4 linked regions of the Oryzias latipes genome follow. The protein of the gene in region 4 purifies or fractionates together with the protein of the main gene of each other region. This does not show direct contact. Links are inferred from orthologs where the notes say so. Each region holds a gene or a part of one and is shown on either strand. Other genes may lie near its edges. The genes, in order: ccdc12, ppie, dhx8 and crnkl1.

Region 1 (3,996 bases), on a different chromosome or scaffold from region 4:
AATCAGCTTTCTCCATCTACTCCTCCTGTCTTCTGCATCCTCTACTCTAACACCAGCTACCTTTATGTCTTCATTCACTGCATCCATAAACCTCTTTGGTCTTCCTCTGGACTCAGCATCCTATGTTCACCGTCTCTGGACACACGTCCAAACCATCTCAGTCTGGCCTCTCTGCCTTTATCTCCAAAACCCTTCAACATGCGCTGTCCCTCTGATCTACTCATTCCTGATCCAATCCATCCTTGTCACTACTAAAGAGAAGAACAGCATCTTCATCTCGGCTACCACCAGCTCTGCTTCCTGTCTTTTTCTCAGGCTACTGTCTCTAGGCCGAACAATATGGCTGGTCTCACCACAGATTTGAGCTGAAACTCTTCTATCACACCTGATACTTTTCTCCACCCATTCCAATCTCCCTGCATTCGCTTCTTCACTTCTTTTCCACACTCTGACCCTGGATAGTTCAAATCCTCCACCATCTTCATGTCTTCTCCCTGTAACATCTAGCTGCAACTGACCTTCGTTCCTCTCCTTTGCAGAGCAAACCACCACCTCTAGCTTCTCCTTCACCTGTTCCCTGCTCTCACTACAAATCCCAATACCAACCACAAACATCATAATCCAGCTCAGTGGCCTTATGGTAGAGTGTCCGCCCTGAAATTGGAGGGTTGTGTGTTCAAATCCAGGCCGAATCATACCAAAGACTCTAAAAATGGGACCCAATGCCTCCCTGCTTGACACCAGTTGGAGTTGGGCGTCTGTGTCTGCAGCTCACCGCTCCCCCAGGGGATGGGTCAAACGCGGAGAGCAACATTCCCACACCTAAGTGAATGACAACTAATGGGGCTTTAATCCATAGCGCTTCCTGTCTAACCTCATCTGTCACACTGTCCATCAGCATTGCAAACAGGAAGGGGCTCAGAGCTGATCCCTGATGTAATCCCACCCCCACCTTGAACTCCTCTGTCACCCCAACAGTAAATCTCACCTCTGTCTGAAAGCCCTCATACATGTCCTGCACTCCTCTAACACACTTCTCTGTCACTCAAGACCTCGTCAGACATTACCATAGTTCCTCTCTGGGCACCCTGTCATAAGCTTTCTCCAGATCTACAAAGACACATGTAGCTCCCTCTGACCTTCTCTATCATCCTCAAAGCACATACTGCATCTGAAACCAAACTGCTGCTCACAAATGTTCCCTTCTGCTCCAAGTCTAGCTTCATCTACTCTTTCCCATAACTTCATTGTATGGCTCATCAGCTTTATTCATCTGTGACTGCAACAACTCTTCACATCTCCCTTATTCTTAAATATGGGCAGCGTCACACTTCTCCTCCATTCAATTCAATTCAATTTTATTTGTATAGCCCAAAATCACAACCACAGTCGTCTCGATGGGCTTTGTGCAGATAAATGTAGGGTAAAACATAAAATCAAAAGGATCATGAACCCACACAATTCAATAGAAAGATTCTAAACTGAACTAACTAAACTAAACAACCCTGTTCTTAGACCCTCCTACGCAGTTCCTCAGGCATCATCTCACCACCAAAGATCCTGTTTAACAACCCAGTCCAAAACTCTACTGCCATCTCTGCAAGACACTTCAATACCTCCACAGATATATCATCACATCAGGACCAAGTGTCTTTCTACTCTTCATCCTCTTTAATGCCCCCGTCACTTCACCCTTACTAATCTTACGTCGTGCTTCACAACAGTCACCTCTTCTATTCTTTATTCCCTCTCATCAATTCTTCCCATCTTTCCATTCACACTACTGACACCTGTCAATACATAACCATTCCCATCCTTCATCACCCCAACCTGCTGCATCTCTCTGAACTCCTGTCTCCTCTCCTCAGTCCTCTCAGTGTCCCACTTCTTCTTAGATAGCCCCTTACTTTGTATAAACTCCTGCGCCTCCTCATTCCACCACCAAGTCTCCTTATCAACCTTTTTTTCCCTGATGACACTCCAAGTAAACTCTTACCTGTCTCCCTGATCACGTTGGCTATAGTTATCCAGCTATCTGGGAGTACCTCCTCACCCCCCAAGAGCCTGTTTCCACAACCCACTGAAGAGAAACTGAAATGTACAATTATCAAAAACTCTCATAATATTATTTTTTTTCTGTAAATGTAAAATCCTTATTGCAGTCCTTGACTATATGCAGTTTTCTAAATATTGGATTTTATATTTATAACTTAGAAAACAATTCTTTCCAGCACTTATGAATAAATGGCGAAGAAACAACATTTTTGTTGTGAGAGGTCACTATAGAAAGAGGGTCATTTGTCTTATCTCAGTAACCTGCTGGTCTGCGCCCTCAGTCAAAGAGATATCGACAGCCTGACTGTAACTACACAACAGATAAACAAGGAGGCCGTCAGGGAAAAAATGTGGAGCCCAAAAAAGTGTTCCTGAAATCAAGTTAAATTAGCGAGTTTATTGATTTGATATAGTTTCGATTCCGGGGGAAGCAAGCACGATATACATTGTATATTATTTGTTTTGTACCTCATTAGCCTTGAAATACTTAAAGCAATCCACAAATGGGGTCTATTAATGAATTTATTGAGTCAAAAGCAGCAGAGTTAGCTTCAGTGTGCTAATTCTGGAGCTAAATGTTAGCATCTCTGTCATTCATTAGCCTGAAAGTGGTCGTTTCCGTCCAACTAGTAGAAACGAAACAGCCAGCAGGCCTGAAACTTACGTGAAGCTTTTTATCTCTCAGTGCTTTGAGTCTTTCTTTCCTCTTGAGGGCTTGTTCCTGAAGCGACCCAACACTTTGCTCCATGTTTGTTTCCACACGCCACTCGATTGCATCTGAAATCTTCTAGTAGGACTGGTAGGGGACAAACAATCGCCGAACACATCGATTGAGCTGTCCTGTTTTGTTCACGTGACTTCATATTTTCAGTTTTCTACAGTCTTGCTCATTCCAATTCATGATATATTTTACATTATCTACTGTAAAATTAGGTTAAAGAAAACAGATTTTTTTAATGCGTTGGTTTATCTGTTTTCTGTTAACTGTGGTTTCCAACGCTTTATATATAAGCATTTTACCTTTAGATCAACTTATGACATTATGATTAAAGTGAATAGGTGTCTTACTGCACTGGTCAAGCATCCTTTTTGTTCACGGTTGCAGTATCAGGTCCTATTTGGGAATGAAGGCCACATTAATACAGCTGCTCCACGCTTCATGTCAATTCTCCTATAAATGAATAACACTAGTGCGTGAAGACACACCCAGCTGTGATAACGATTCTAAAAAAAGGTCTTGCAGATGGTCATAAAGAGGACAACTTGAAACTTGTGATTATTAATTTTTAATTCTTGGTTATATTTCTTTGAGTCAAAGCAGATATGATTTCACTATTTTCCTAATACAGTGCATAGTAAAGAGAGCTGAAAAAAATGGTGTTGCACATAATTGTTCTCCATCTGAAATATCTAACACAAACCTTTATATAATATAAGTAAAATACATATATTTTTTTCATCTTTTATTTGTTTTATTTTGAAGTTGCCAAGATGCAAACAACAAAAACACTCACAAAAGTTGACCTTTGTGTTAATGGTTAATTACCTAAACAAAGATCCTATACACAAAATAGTTTTTTTAGTAGATCCCCATCCAGCTATGCTGGTATGAGACATGTTTGGATATGATCTGTGTTCGCAAGTAACACGTTTATTTGGAATCAAATCAACATTTACCTGGAAAAAGAAAATATAAGGCAATACATGACTTGGAAAATAAGATTTGAAAGGGGAATGGAAGAAGTGAAAGCTTATAAAAATCCAAACCCCCACTCAACAACAATCATAACAACAAAACAACCTCGGTACTACTTTTTCGATTATGGTATAGTGGTTGGTTTTATGTGGATCACATGTTGCTTAAGTGTCACAACGTGACTCAAAAGACAAATGATTATTTAAATCTTGGCCATGAAAATTGTATCCTATTTATAGGTGAAA
Region 2 (4,014 bases), on a different chromosome or scaffold from region 4:
AAACATGACTTTTTAATGTGTAGTTGTGGTTTTGCCATTTCTCTCCAACAGGGGTCTCGGTTATGTCATATATTGTAAGACCACAGCCCCAGACTAAAAAAAAAAATAGGATATGAAATCTCAATATGTTCAGGTCCTGTCTCAAATCAGAATTGGGGAGTAGGTTTATTTTTTATTATAAAAACAGAAAGAAAAACATTTTTTGAATAATTTATAAAGAATTTAGAAGACTGATATTATATTCAAAGTAAATAGAGTGTGCATCAGCAACCTCAAAGAGAGACTAAAGGACACAGTGGGGTTAAATGGTGTTTAGTCGGCTACCAATTGGTCAAGTTCTTCTACCTAAGAAGATGAGAGGCTGTCATTTTCATCATAGGTATACCTCAACTATGAGAAACAAAATTAGAAGAAAAAAAAAATCACATTTCTTGAGAATTTAATTGTAAATTATTGATTTTTTTCCTTCAATTTGTCTTTCATAGTTGAGGTATACCTATGATGAAAATGACAGGCTTCTCTCATCTTTTTAAGTGGGAGAGCTTGCACAATAGTAGCTGACTGAATACATTTTTGCCCCTACTGCAAATGTTTGCACTTTTTTAGAAGAATGTTAATATTTGCTTCATCTTTTGGTTGAGTGTGCAGACCTGCAGTCATCGGAACGATGTCCGCCCGCAGGAGGAAGCGCAGTCTTCCTGCTGCTTTGTTCCCAATCTTGATGTCCATGTAGACCTGTGGATTTACTCGGCTCTTTTTAGCCTGTGGCTCCCCCTGCAAAATCAGAAAAATGCATTTATCATATTTTTATTGCCTACACAAAGCCCTGCAAAAATGAATAAATAAATGAAAAATAGTCCTACAAATGTTTTTTTTTTTAACTTTATCTCTCAACCGTTATGGAAGTAATTTCTGCTCAAATGCTGTAAAGGATTTCTGATTCCCTTTGTTGTTCAAATGCGCCAAGACTTTCCAAATAAACCCACACACCCAGATAATTTACTCATTTAGTGCATTTAATAAGAAACCTGCTTCCTCCAGTGAATCAATTTTAATTCTAATTTTATTACTGTTATGCGAGTGATAAAGTTGGTTTCTCTAATTGGGAGAGTGGATCAATCAAACTAATCTAAATGAGGATTACTAAGAAAATGCAGATTTCTCTGGATTGTAAACACAAACCTGCTTTTTTGATGAGTCACGTTTTGATGTGTTTTTATATAAATTAGACAGATTTTCACTCCTGACATGACATTTCATCATTCACTGTACATTTTACACTCTTCATTTTTAGTCTTACACTGACGCAACAATATTTCACCAAAACCTGCTTTTCTCAGTGAAAAAATAAAATAAAGGCCCTCTAACGGGTCTGTACATTTAAATTTATTGAACTATACTCTAAAAATTAAGATTTAAAGAGAAAAAAAGATTGCTCATTTACTACATGTTTATGCAGTGACCTTATACCTTAAATATCTAGAATCTAATTCCCTGAATAAACTGAGTGTCCTGAAAACAAAACAAAAAGTTCTCACCTCCTGTGTTTTGCTGGGTGCCTCTCCTGCTGCTACCGCCTCAGCCTCGGCTTCCTCCAAGGTTTTCCCCGAAAACTTCTTCAGCCAGTCGTCATCCGACCACACTGAACACAAAAACAAGAGTTACAGGTCAAAACCACATCATAAAAAACAAAGCAGATTTTAAGAATCTTCTTCTATGATTACCTGGTCGAGAAGAACCCTCTTTGATTCTCATGGGCTTAGCGATGTTCACTCGGATAGTCCGTCCAAAAAGTTCAGACTCATTCTGGCAGCAAAAAAAAGCTACAATTTAAACCCAATCTTTTTAAAGAATAAGAAGAACTGTTAGTCACTTACCATGTTATCAATAGCTGCTGCTGCATCCTGAAGGAAAGACAGTGATGAGAAAGGGATGCATTCAAGAAAATAAAAGCTCACTTTTGTTAAAGATTCACCGATACAACTCTGGGTTATTTTCAAATTAATATGATCAAATCAAAGAGTTTGATTTGCACTTTAAAAAAAACAACAAATAAAAGTTTTTCTTGTTGGTTTGGTGAATCTATAACGTTTTTCAAGTGAATACCTTTTAAAAAATGAGTTTTCTGAATCCATCCTTTGTGCCATCAATAATTCAATTCAAAAGGAGAAAACTTTAAAAGCACAAACCTCTGCCAGCTCAAACTCAATGAACCCAAAGCCTCTGTGCTTTTCTAAAATGTAAGCACAAAAAATACTTAAATGATCAGGGTTTTTTTTTTGTTTTTTTGTTATATGATTATAAAATAAAACTTGATCTGACCTGTTTCATAATCCAGGGGTATCTGGATGTCTGTGATGTCTCCAAAGGGAATAAAGGCTGCGTGTAAAACCTTCTCATCCACCTCCTCCGCCAAACCACCTGGAGGAAGCAGCAGCGCAAACACTCAACACTCAATGCTTCATCTTCGTACTTTTGAATGAACACATCGTACATTAACCAGGATGTTAAAGTCGAAAACAGTGAGCTCTGTATGAGTTGGCTTAGCAGCATGTGATGGTTTCTATAAGACCGGAATACAACGTTGACTCGCCTTGGTTTTCCCCGCATAAATGGTAAAAAAAAGTTTTTATAGAAGGAATTAGCATAAAAGAGCTTTTAATTTCTGTTTTAGTTCAGAGTGGAGTGTAACTTGATCGGTCTGACATTCATAGTTAATTTAAAAAGTTATCATTACTTACCGACATACAGAACCCTTTTATTCGACGCCATATTGGATTCTAGATGTTGAACTTTAACCTCGGCCTCTGATTGGTGGAATCAAAAGGAAGCCCGCCTCTTCAACTATCCACAGCGCCCTCTATTGGTCATATTTAGGTCCAGCAACTGATCTATAGAGCCAATGACCGTCAATATGACTCTTTTCAAACACATTTGTGAAATGTGCCAGAGTTTTCAGATGAAAACAATCATATTTGTCGTTTTGGCTTTTTGTCTTTTTTGTTTTTTAAATGGAAATACCTAACTATGTTTTAAAAATAAAACAAAACAGCTCAGTGGTTTCAAATATAATATATACTTTATGTATCACAATAATTTTTGGACAGCTAAAATACACTAATGTTATGTAATTTTTGCTTTAGAGTTTTGTTGTTATAATGCTGCTAAATCCCTTTAAACTGTTTTTACTTTCAAATTATTTTTTATCTTATTGTTCCATAAATTTTCTGTATTTCTAAACTGATTTACTGTTGAGGGTTACCTGGCAGAGAAAGTGGGAAAAGGTTGAGAAGCACTGCTTTTAGTGACCCAGCAGTCCTCACCTTCTTCTTACGGAAACCCAACCATGTTTTAACTAAGGTTTTATACTTTTTATCTGAAACAAAACCCTAAGGGCACAATTTTACCCCACTCCCTTTGTAGCACTAGAGTTGTAAAGCACAATACATTGTGTTTCACTACAAACAATAACATTATAATTCACTGATGAAAGCTGTGTTTATGGCCGATTCAGAAGAACAGGTCAACAGCTAAAAAAGATCAACATTTTTAAATGTAAATTCTCACTTACAGAGAATTTTTGGTAGTTTGTTCCAAATGATACATCCAAACCATCCATTTCCCAAACCCATCGAATCTCGTTTGGTTTCACTCTGTTGCTGGAGCCTATCCCAGACACTGTTGGGCAAAAGGGGGGTGCACCCTGGACATGTCACCAGCCTGTCACAAGGCCACACACACTCACATTCACACCTAAGGGACAATTCAGAATTGAATCGGTTAGTTCAAAAGGGGCCCAAGTCCAAGAGGTTTTTTTTTCAGGAAATGATTTTAATTGCATAGCTTAAAGGGAGGCAACACCAAATGATTAATACTTTACCCAGATTTAGCACCAGCTCATAGCTTACAAATGCTATAATATGAAGCACCTCATTTTTATAATTTCAGAGGACTAGCAAACTAAAGTCTCTGGACTTGGGCACTTCTTGTATTAAACAGGGGCGTTGCCATATT
Region 3 (4,166 bases), on a different chromosome or scaffold from region 4:
AAAGAAACAAACTTGTCTTTTATGTCTGTCTTTCTTTCGTTCCCTGTTTTGTTTCATTTAATCTCACAGCTGAAATCCTCCGAGGGCACACATGTACATGTAACATGTGATCTGTACACATCCGAGGTTTGTAACTGTTAGCGACACATTTCCCAGCTTCAGCTCAGAGTATGTTAGGCCTGCAGAAGTATTTTAGATTTATCTATTAAAAGTGATCTTCACTCCAGATGCAATATGGATTTATAAAAGCCCTTAATCTGTTTTCCTTTCAATATTTTTTCTACTGAATAAATCATTATAACTATGTGAACCCAGGCTGATATTTGTGCCGTGTTCAGTACAATCCAAGGTCAGAGCAGCTATTTCCCAAAGGTTTTCATGGCTGACCGGCATTATTGAGATGCTGATTTGAGTTCTGCCCACACTGTCAAGGATATCAGTTCCTGGTTTAGAGAGCCTGGTATCCCTGAAACTGATTAAGACTCACCTGACCTAAATCCTGTAAATGTTCGGGGCTATAAAAAATAGGAAGATATGAGATACCAGATGTTCAACAACACAGAAGAGCTGAAGACCATGGTTAGAGCAATCTAAGCATCCATACAATCTCATTAGAGGGATCAACGTTATGCAGAATTGCCACTGTAATTGATCAAATGCAAGTCCCTGGCATGCTCAACTTTCTCAACCGTCCAATTTTCTTTTTTAAAAATTTTTATTTTTCTGGTTTGAGATCATTTTCTTTAAAAAAAAAAGCCTCAGAAAAGTAGTTTAGGTGTAATTTCTAGAGTTTTAAACCCATAAAGCCGGATAGCTCTGATGTGTCAAAAAATACAGCATGTGTCAAATTTAAGGTATATTATCATAAGGATAAAAATGTTACTACAATGTGATAGTATACTCAAAGATCTGCTAGTTTACTTTGGCTTGAACCCATCATGGCATCCTGCTTTTGAACCGTCTTTACAAAACCCCAACACTGAAAGTCCACATAAAATTAGAGGAGATAAAGCAGATAAAAGCATTCTTTTAAAGCAAGTAGAGAAATAACATATACTAATATATAAAGTTAAACTTATTATTTCACTGAATATCTCGTAAAGAATATTTGCCATAGAAAAAAACTATACTTTCAGCAGTTAAATTTACTCTTCAGGTGGGTTTATTTTTATTTTTTTCACTATTCTATTTTTACCACTTTCCTTAACTTTTAATGGGTTTTATTTATCGAAGCTTTGGCGCCATCGTGTAGCAGGAAATGATAAGCTACCAAATCCCCAGGATCGTATTTCCGTTTACTCCGGAAGTGATTAAATATCTAACCTGTCCGCTGTCTGCTACGATCTCTGAACAAAAACAAGGCTCGTGGAGGATGGCAGACATTGGGTTAGAAGAGCTGTCGCAGCTCGAATACTTGTCTTTAGTGTCCAAGGTTTGCACGGAGCTCGACAATCATTTAGGAATAAACGACAAGGATTTAGGTGAGTGTTTTTTTCTCACTCCGAATTGTTTAAAAACATCTAGTTAGCTTTTGCTAGGCTAACTAGCTGTTATGTGGCTGTAAACAAACTAAAGCGTATCCCAATGTTTATTCCTTGTTAAAGAATACAAACAACAGTTAAACATGTTAAGAATACTGTTACCGTCATGCGCGCATGACCTAGCTTACGTATTGAATATTCGTTTATTTTAAAATACGTTTCTAGCTATGTAGTTAGCTTGTTTCTTTTCAGCAGCAGGCACGCAGTGGCATATTGAATAGTTTTTATTTTTAATTGATCGAAAAACAGTAATGTCAATGTTTAAGTCTATGAACAAATTACAGATCACATCAAAGACTCCCGTAGAAAGCAACAACTAATATCTTTCAATAAGCCTTCATTGGATTAATCATTTTTAGATATTCATAAATTGATATAACGTTTTCATTAATCCAGTAAATTTGCAGGTCTTTTTTTGTGTTTGTTGAAAAAACCTTCTGTTTCTCATTTCCCAGCTGAGTTCGTCATCAGCCTCGCTGAGAAACAACCAGCCTTTGATGGATTCAAAGCTGTTTTACTTGAAAATGGAGCCGAGTTCACAGTAAGTCCACTTCCAGCCGCTGACCTGTGACCCGTTCTCCGGTGGCTCCTGTTGAAAACCGCCTCGTTTTGCTGTTTGATTTTCAGGATTCTCTCATCAGCAACTTGCTCAGACTCATTCAGACGATGCAACCTCCATCCAAAGCATCAATGAGTAAAGGTATGTTGATGCTGAGGAACATTTTCTCCTGATTTAACAGCTAATATGCATATTTATACCAAACATAGTTCAGATCAGTCATCCATAAATAGTGATTTTGTTTGCTTCTCGTTTAAACTAAGCAAGTGTTATCTCTTTCAGTCTCAGAAGCATCTGTCAAACCCAAATCAGAGAAAGACAGGCTAAAGGAGATGTTCCCCGCACTCTGTAGACCCGATGATCCTGTACCAAAAGTAAGTTGGGAAAGGATTTTATCACTTTATTTATTCATTTTTTAATGAAAAAATGCTGACATTTGACTTTTTTTTGGTGTTTGAATACTTTAGCAACACCTGGATGAGGACGATGTCAAAGTAGCAGCTGATGCGATGAAAGAGCTTGAGATGTTTATGCCCAGCGTGAGTGGGGCAGAGTCCAAGGGGGGCAAGACAAAGTAAGACTTTGATTTTTGTAGAATAAAATCATTTGTATAGAAGTTTGTTTTATTGTGTAAAATGGAAACAGTAAACAGTGTGACCACAGATTCTTAAAAGGTCTTTTAAGTCCCAGTCTGATCCTCTTTTGATATAGTTTCAAAGCGTTCCCAGTAGTTTTCTAATTATGATGATGATATTTTTAGCCAAAATCCAAAAATCTGTGTCATATGAGGACTTAGTTTGTGCAGAGCAGCAGGAGTTCATTAGAAATTTAACTCTGAGTTGTGGGCTGAAACTGTTGGCACTGAGCAAGCCCGCCCCCACTCTTCGTCACCCATCTATTGGAGCTATCCAGTTTTGGGCCAGAAACCAGCTCCGACGAGGATCTAGTCGTCCACCAGGGAATGTAGCAGAATGGAGCGGAGCATGGGGCTTGTTGCTCGCCGCAGTGGCTTTTACGTGACACCTAAAATCATCAGTTAACCGCAATCCCACACCGTCACAGCTCTAGTTCTGAATTTCATAGGGCTCAGTCTGGTACATTTTCGGTATTTTTTCAGTATAAAAAAGCCAGAAAAAGATTTCTTTGCAAAATGCATTTATTGGTTTTATGTAACAATAAATAAAAATTGACCAATGTAGGTGATTGCTTTATAAAATAAGAAAAATTATTAGCTGTCAGGAACCAAAAACTTTGAATATTTTACACTGGGTTGGAAAAAATTAAAAACATTTTAACTTGCACATTTTTTTTTTGCTTGTAGACCCGATTTTTACATTCGGGTGATGCTGTTTTAAGTGTGTTTACAGATTCGATGTGTTACATACACTATGAACTGCAATGACATGATTCTGACCGTGGTTGGAAAACGCTGACTGGGGAGATCCTCTCCAGGGTAGAATGTACTTTGAGTTTCTTGCAATTATGTATCTTAGGTCGGATAAAAGCAGGCATCGCAGCAGAAGTAGAAGCAGAGACAGACACAGAGACCGAGACCGAGCCAGGGATCGAGATAGAGACAAGAAGCGGCGCCATCGTTCTCGATCTCGATCCAGATCTCGCTCCAGAGATCGCCACAGAGATAGAGACCGAGGCAAACGAAGGGAGAAGTCCTCCCGCTGGGGTGACCGTTCCCCCAGTCCCCGAAAGGAGCAGGACAGGGATGGAGACCGCTGGAAGGACAAACATGTGGACCGCCCCCCTCCAGAGGAACCTTCTGTTGGGGACATCTACAATGGCAAGATCACCAGCATCATGCAGTTTGGATGTTTCGTCCAACTGGAGGGATTAAGGTCAGTGTGGGGTTTAAAAAATCAATTACCCTGAATAACTTCAAAGATTTTTCTGACCTTCCTGGTCTGTTGCTCTTGTGCCTTCGTGTTGTGAACTCTTCTGGTTTAGGAAGCGGTGGGAGGGACTAGTCCACATCTCTGAGCTGCGTAGAGAGGGACGAGTCGCCAATGTGGCTGACGTTGTCAGCAAGGGTCAAAGAGTCAAAGTGAAGGTGC
Region 4 (4,303 bases):
ATTTAAATGTTACTTTTAACCAATACCTCATTATCGTATGTACTGTAGTGGTGGCAAAATCTTCTCGTGCCACAAAAAGGTGAAGGAACAGTGTATTCAAAGACTGCAAAAATTAAACATATTTAAGACAGAACCGCAACATAATTAGTCTTTTTTAAAACATTTATGTTTAAAGAGATGATTAAATAAGTGACGCAAACTGTGCATTGTGGGGAGCTGAAGTGTTTGTGCAGAAACTGTTCCCACTGGGCCTGATCCACCAAGTCTCCAATGGGATGATCGACGAAGACAGCATGGGCCACAATGTCCTGGTTTTCATTGACCACTGTCAGGGCGAAGCTGGCTTTGTCTCTACAAGGAAGATCCCAAAAGACAAAAAAAAGCAAAATTATTTTATAAAAATAAATAACTTAAGTTAATAATTTATCATCAAAAGCAAATACATGTTTACTCTTTCTTTCAAATTACCATGGTCTTTAAACACTGACTGTATGGGATTAAATGTCAAAGACACCATAGGCTACAAGTCTGTAGATTTTTTGTTTTTAAAATACAATTGACCTACTCAAGTTGAACAACGTTGACTCTTCCAAAAATTGGACTTGTGGAGGTTGTTAGGCTCTCAATCCACTCAATGTCTGCTGATCCACCTCCTACAACGATAGTTTGACGGCTTGCGTCCTCAGCTAGACAGTTTAAAGTTTCAGATTTCATGATGATCATCTAGTGAGAGCAGGAGAAAACCGGGAAAAAAAGTCGCGATATAAGCAAAAAACGAGTAAAAATAGCTTCTTCTTTTTTTTCTTCTACAAGGTTTACTAACTCCTTGTTTTAGATAAAGCAATCCACATACTAGCTGCAACTTACTGTTCAATAACTGTGGAATGACAGAGTAGCTCCGAAAGTTTTTTTTTTTTTTTTTTTTTTTCAAGGGCAGTTGTCACAGCAACTGACGCCGCGCGGGTAGAACCATTTGTAGCCCAATGCATTGTGGGTTATCAAAGGACAATAAACAAACAAACAAACGAAAACAAATAAATAAATAAAGTTATTTGTCAAGGGAAAAAATAACTTGGCTTTTTTTCCTATTTAACATAAAACGTTTTTGCAAAATTACCTATTTGCAGACACTTGGTCAGATATTCAAGATATCAGCAAATTAAGATTCTAAACAGTGGTTACAAAAAAAAAAATATTTATTTATTTATTATAATTATTGAGTGGTAAAAACATCATCACTCTGTTGTAAATGTCAAAATAATAAAAAAATGGTCTAAGTGCAATTCACAAAAGAGCTAAAAAGCAACATTTTTCTTACTCAGAATCAGATGATAAAAGCAAACGCATCTGTATAAAGTTACTCAGAATATTTCTCTTTAAACATTAATAAGAATGCATTCTATGTCGTGATCTTCTCTGCGTTGTACACTCCAGTCCACGTGGTGCCGACAGCGGGCGTGAACTTCTAGGTTGGAACCGGAAGCTAAAAGAAAGAAATGAATTGTGGGTACTGTCATGGGCGCTCACACCGAGCAACAAGCGAGCAAACGATTTTGTTGTTGTCACTAACCAGTATACCATTTTAGAAATTGAACTTGGCATTTTAACGTAAACTGTTGACTTGCTAAGTAGTCAATATGGCCTCTACTGCTGCTGGAAAACAGCGGATACCAAAGGTGGCTAAGGTAAGTGAGAACGAAATAGCAAAGCTCTCTTAACAGCTTCGCTAAGCTAATGCTAATAATCATTTTCCCCCCAAAGGCACCCATTTTTAGTATTGCTGGCTTTTTATTTAATCATTAAAAAAAAAAGTGTGTAATACATGTGTAACAATGCAACAACAACGTTTTCACATTTTTACAATAAGAAACTATAATGAACAATTTTCAAAACTAAACTTATTTAACACTATTCTGAAAGTTCTAACAAAGAGAGTAACAACATGGTGACCTGCTTAGTTAAATTAAAATGTAACAATATGCTAATTGTTTTAATAATTTGCGACGAATCTTTATTCATTTTCCAAAACAGAAAATTATAAATCATTTTTTAAACAATTGTACAGAAGGGGAACCTTTTTTTTAAATCAATTTCATCTTGTAGTTATAATGTTTTTGCAAGAATTATTATCATGTTGAATATGTTGTTTGACTGGAAAACACAATTATGAAATACAAATATTTTATGTTGAGATAATAAAACAATTTCCCCAGGCATTACTTTAGATATGTGTACTATATCAGGCCAGAAATATTAAAACATGACAATGTACAAAGACATGTTTGCCTAATATATTCACCATGGCGCTGGCAGAAAGAGCACTTATTCCATACATTTGGGAGAAACAACAAATATATTGCGTTTTTTTTTTTTTTTACTGGGTGATATTTAAGGATAATTTAGAAGATAAATCGTTTAATATTATTTACATTAATATAGGTTTTTGCTAACAGATTGTTTCCCAAAGTGTTTTTACATACACTTTTTTCAATTAGACTTATTCCTTGAACTTAAAGTGACACTATGGCATTTATTTTAAGTTGTATTATTTGATGTAGAATAGACATAATACTCATTTTAAAACCTGTTTAAGGAACAATATTGGATTTGCCTAAAGAACTCACATACGTATAGCATTCACCATTATCATCCAGTAACTAGTTTACTGTACTTATATTTATAATGAACCTGGCATTTATTTATTTTTGTGTAAAATGTTCTATGGACTGTGATAACTACATGTTCAATCTGCAATGTTGCAACTCTGTCGTGATTTAAGCAACTTTTCTTTCCAAGATTTGATCATGTAAAAACAATAAAAAAACAACAACAAAAATGTACTTATTGTATTGACACTGCAATGCAAACTGAAAAGGAATCTATGGTCTTAAAAATACACTTTTTGCTTCTCTTTTTTTCAAATGCAAGAACATATTTTCAACGAAATTACTACGTAACTTAGTTAATCGAAGCTGAAGGTTTCCATTTATGCCGCTTCGGTTTGTCTCCTTTAATTTACCAGATAAATATTTACCTCCATTCAAACAACGCTTGCCATAACCTTCAGTGCAGTGACCACAAGCAAGTTATAGCAGGTTTACATTTCTTTCACTTGTCTATGATTGTCTATTTCTTTCACTTTAAATTAGGTAAAGTTAGAGAATTGAATTGCTGACACTTACTGCAGAGGTGAACTGAAATTAACACATTTTTCCATTTCCTGTTTTTTTGCCAAATGCTGAAACTCACTTAAAACTTGTTGCATTGTGTCCTTGGGCAAGACACTTCACCCTCCCTGCCTCCAGTGTTGCTCCACTGGTGTGTGAAGTAAGGGTTAATGGCCGACGAAGTGTGCGGTTACTACTTTTTAACGCACGCCGTGGAAGCCTGCTTCCGCGAAGTGCGTTAAAAAGTAGTAACCGCACACTTCGAAGGCCATTAACCCGCTTATACCATGGTCACTTACAAAAGCAATACATATTAACCAGGTTTTAGTCCTTAATTCTTGTTTTTTTTTTCGATTTGTATCACTTTTCTCATAAACAGCGTACTATATGTTACGTGATGCGGCGCATCGCGCCGCATCACGTAACATATAGTCCGCGTCGCGCAGCACCACCGCTGCAGTTAAGATTCGGCGATAAATATATATGCTGATCGTCCCGATGGGTTGAATAAAGCATCAATTCAGAGGGAAAGTTCACCTCTTACCGCTTGTTTTTGCCCCGATGATGAAGCAAAAGGTTGTTATACAGAAGCCGGCGCAGTGATACAAATCATTTAAGCTAGCCGACCGGAACTTCTTTTTCACCGTGCGGTTATCAGGTTTTAACGCATACCCAGCAGCCAATCAGAATCGAGTATTCAACCGGACCATGGTATAATGTGTATGAATGTCTCGGTGATGGTCAAAGGGGCCTTAGGTACGACCTGGCCGACACGCCTCTGTCATTCTGCCCCAGGGCGGCTGTGGCTACAACAGTAGCTACCATCACCAAGTATGAGGAGTGAATGAACAATGGACACATTGTAAGAGCTTTGAGCTTCTGGAACACACCGAAAAAAGTCCAATTTATTATTATTTTTATCATTAAGTATTTAATGAAATATGTGTATTTATTTTGGAGTTTACTAGCAAAGCACGGTTATTAAACCTTATATGTACATGTTTCCACTGATAATGTATTTTAAATAAGGATACCTGGGAATATGCAACATTTGTAAAGACTGTGTTTTGCGTTTTAGGTGAAGAACAAAGCCCCAGCAGATGTGCAGATTACAGCTGAGCAGCTGCTGAGAGAAG

Evidence for each region.
Region 1: the proteins of crnkl1 (region 4) and ccdc12 purify together in Homo sapiens (co-immunoprecipitation; 3 studies listed by BioGRID and IntAct, with this or other methods). This does not show direct contact. The link is inferred for Oryzias latipes from reciprocal best matches to the Homo sapiens genes CRNKL1 and CCDC12.
Region 2: the proteins of crnkl1 (region 4) and ppie purify together in Homo sapiens (affinity purification with mass spectrometry; 3 studies listed by BioGRID and IntAct, counting the BioPlex papers as one, with this or other methods). This does not show direct contact. The link is inferred for Oryzias latipes from reciprocal best matches to the Homo sapiens genes CRNKL1 and PPIE.
Region 3: the proteins of crnkl1 (region 4) and dhx8 purify together in Homo sapiens (affinity purification with mass spectrometry; 3 studies listed by BioGRID and IntAct, counting the BioPlex papers as one, with this or other methods). This does not show direct contact. The link is inferred for Oryzias latipes from reciprocal best matches to the Homo sapiens genes CRNKL1 and DHX8.

The regions. Positions count from the first base shown.
Region 1 is NC_019874.2:16,703,410-16,707,405, forward strand, and holds the start of ccdc12 (coiled-coil domain-containing protein 12), read right to left. Parts: upstream 2,852-3,996; 5' UTR 2,804-2,851; coding exon 2,720-2,803; intron 1-2,719.
Region 2 is NC_019880.2:16,796,576-16,800,589, forward strand, and holds the start of ppie (peptidyl-prolyl cis-trans isomerase E), read right to left. Parts: upstream 2,843-4,014; 5' UTR 2,773-2,842; coding exon 2,742-2,772; intron 2,422-2,741; coding exon 2,323-2,421; intron 2,234-2,322; coding exon 2,190-2,233; intron 1,905-2,189; coding exon 1,878-1,904; intron 1,807-1,877; coding exon 1,725-1,806; intron 1,643-1,724; coding exon 1,539-1,642; intron 775-1,538; coding exon 651-774; intron 1-650. UniProt on the Homo sapiens protein: Involved in pre-mRNA splicing as component of the spliceosome. Combines RNA-binding and PPIase activities.
Region 3 is NC_019877.2:18,259,284-18,263,449, reverse strand, and holds the start of dhx8 (ATP-dependent RNA helicase DHX8), read left to right. Parts: upstream 1-1,309; 5' UTR 1,310-1,372; coding exon 1,373-1,481; intron 1,482-1,996; coding exon 1,997-2,082; intron 2,083-2,168; coding exon 2,169-2,241; intron 2,242-2,382; coding exon 2,383-2,474; intron 2,475-2,567; coding exon 2,568-2,674; intron 2,675-3,593; coding exon 3,594-3,950; intron 3,951-4,059; coding exon 4,060-4,166.
Region 4 is NC_019882.2:16,307,137-16,311,439, forward strand, and holds the start of crnkl1 (crooked neck-like protein 1), read left to right. Parts: upstream 1-1,498; 5' UTR 1,499-1,637; coding exon 1,638-1,685; intron 1,686-4,245; coding exon 4,246-4,303. Other genes in the region: cfap61 (cilia- and flagella-associated protein 61), read right to left, coding at 27-103, 201-351, 566-723. UniProt on the Homo sapiens protein: Involved in pre-mRNA splicing process. As a component of the minor spliceosome, involved in the splicing of U12-type introns in pre-mRNAs.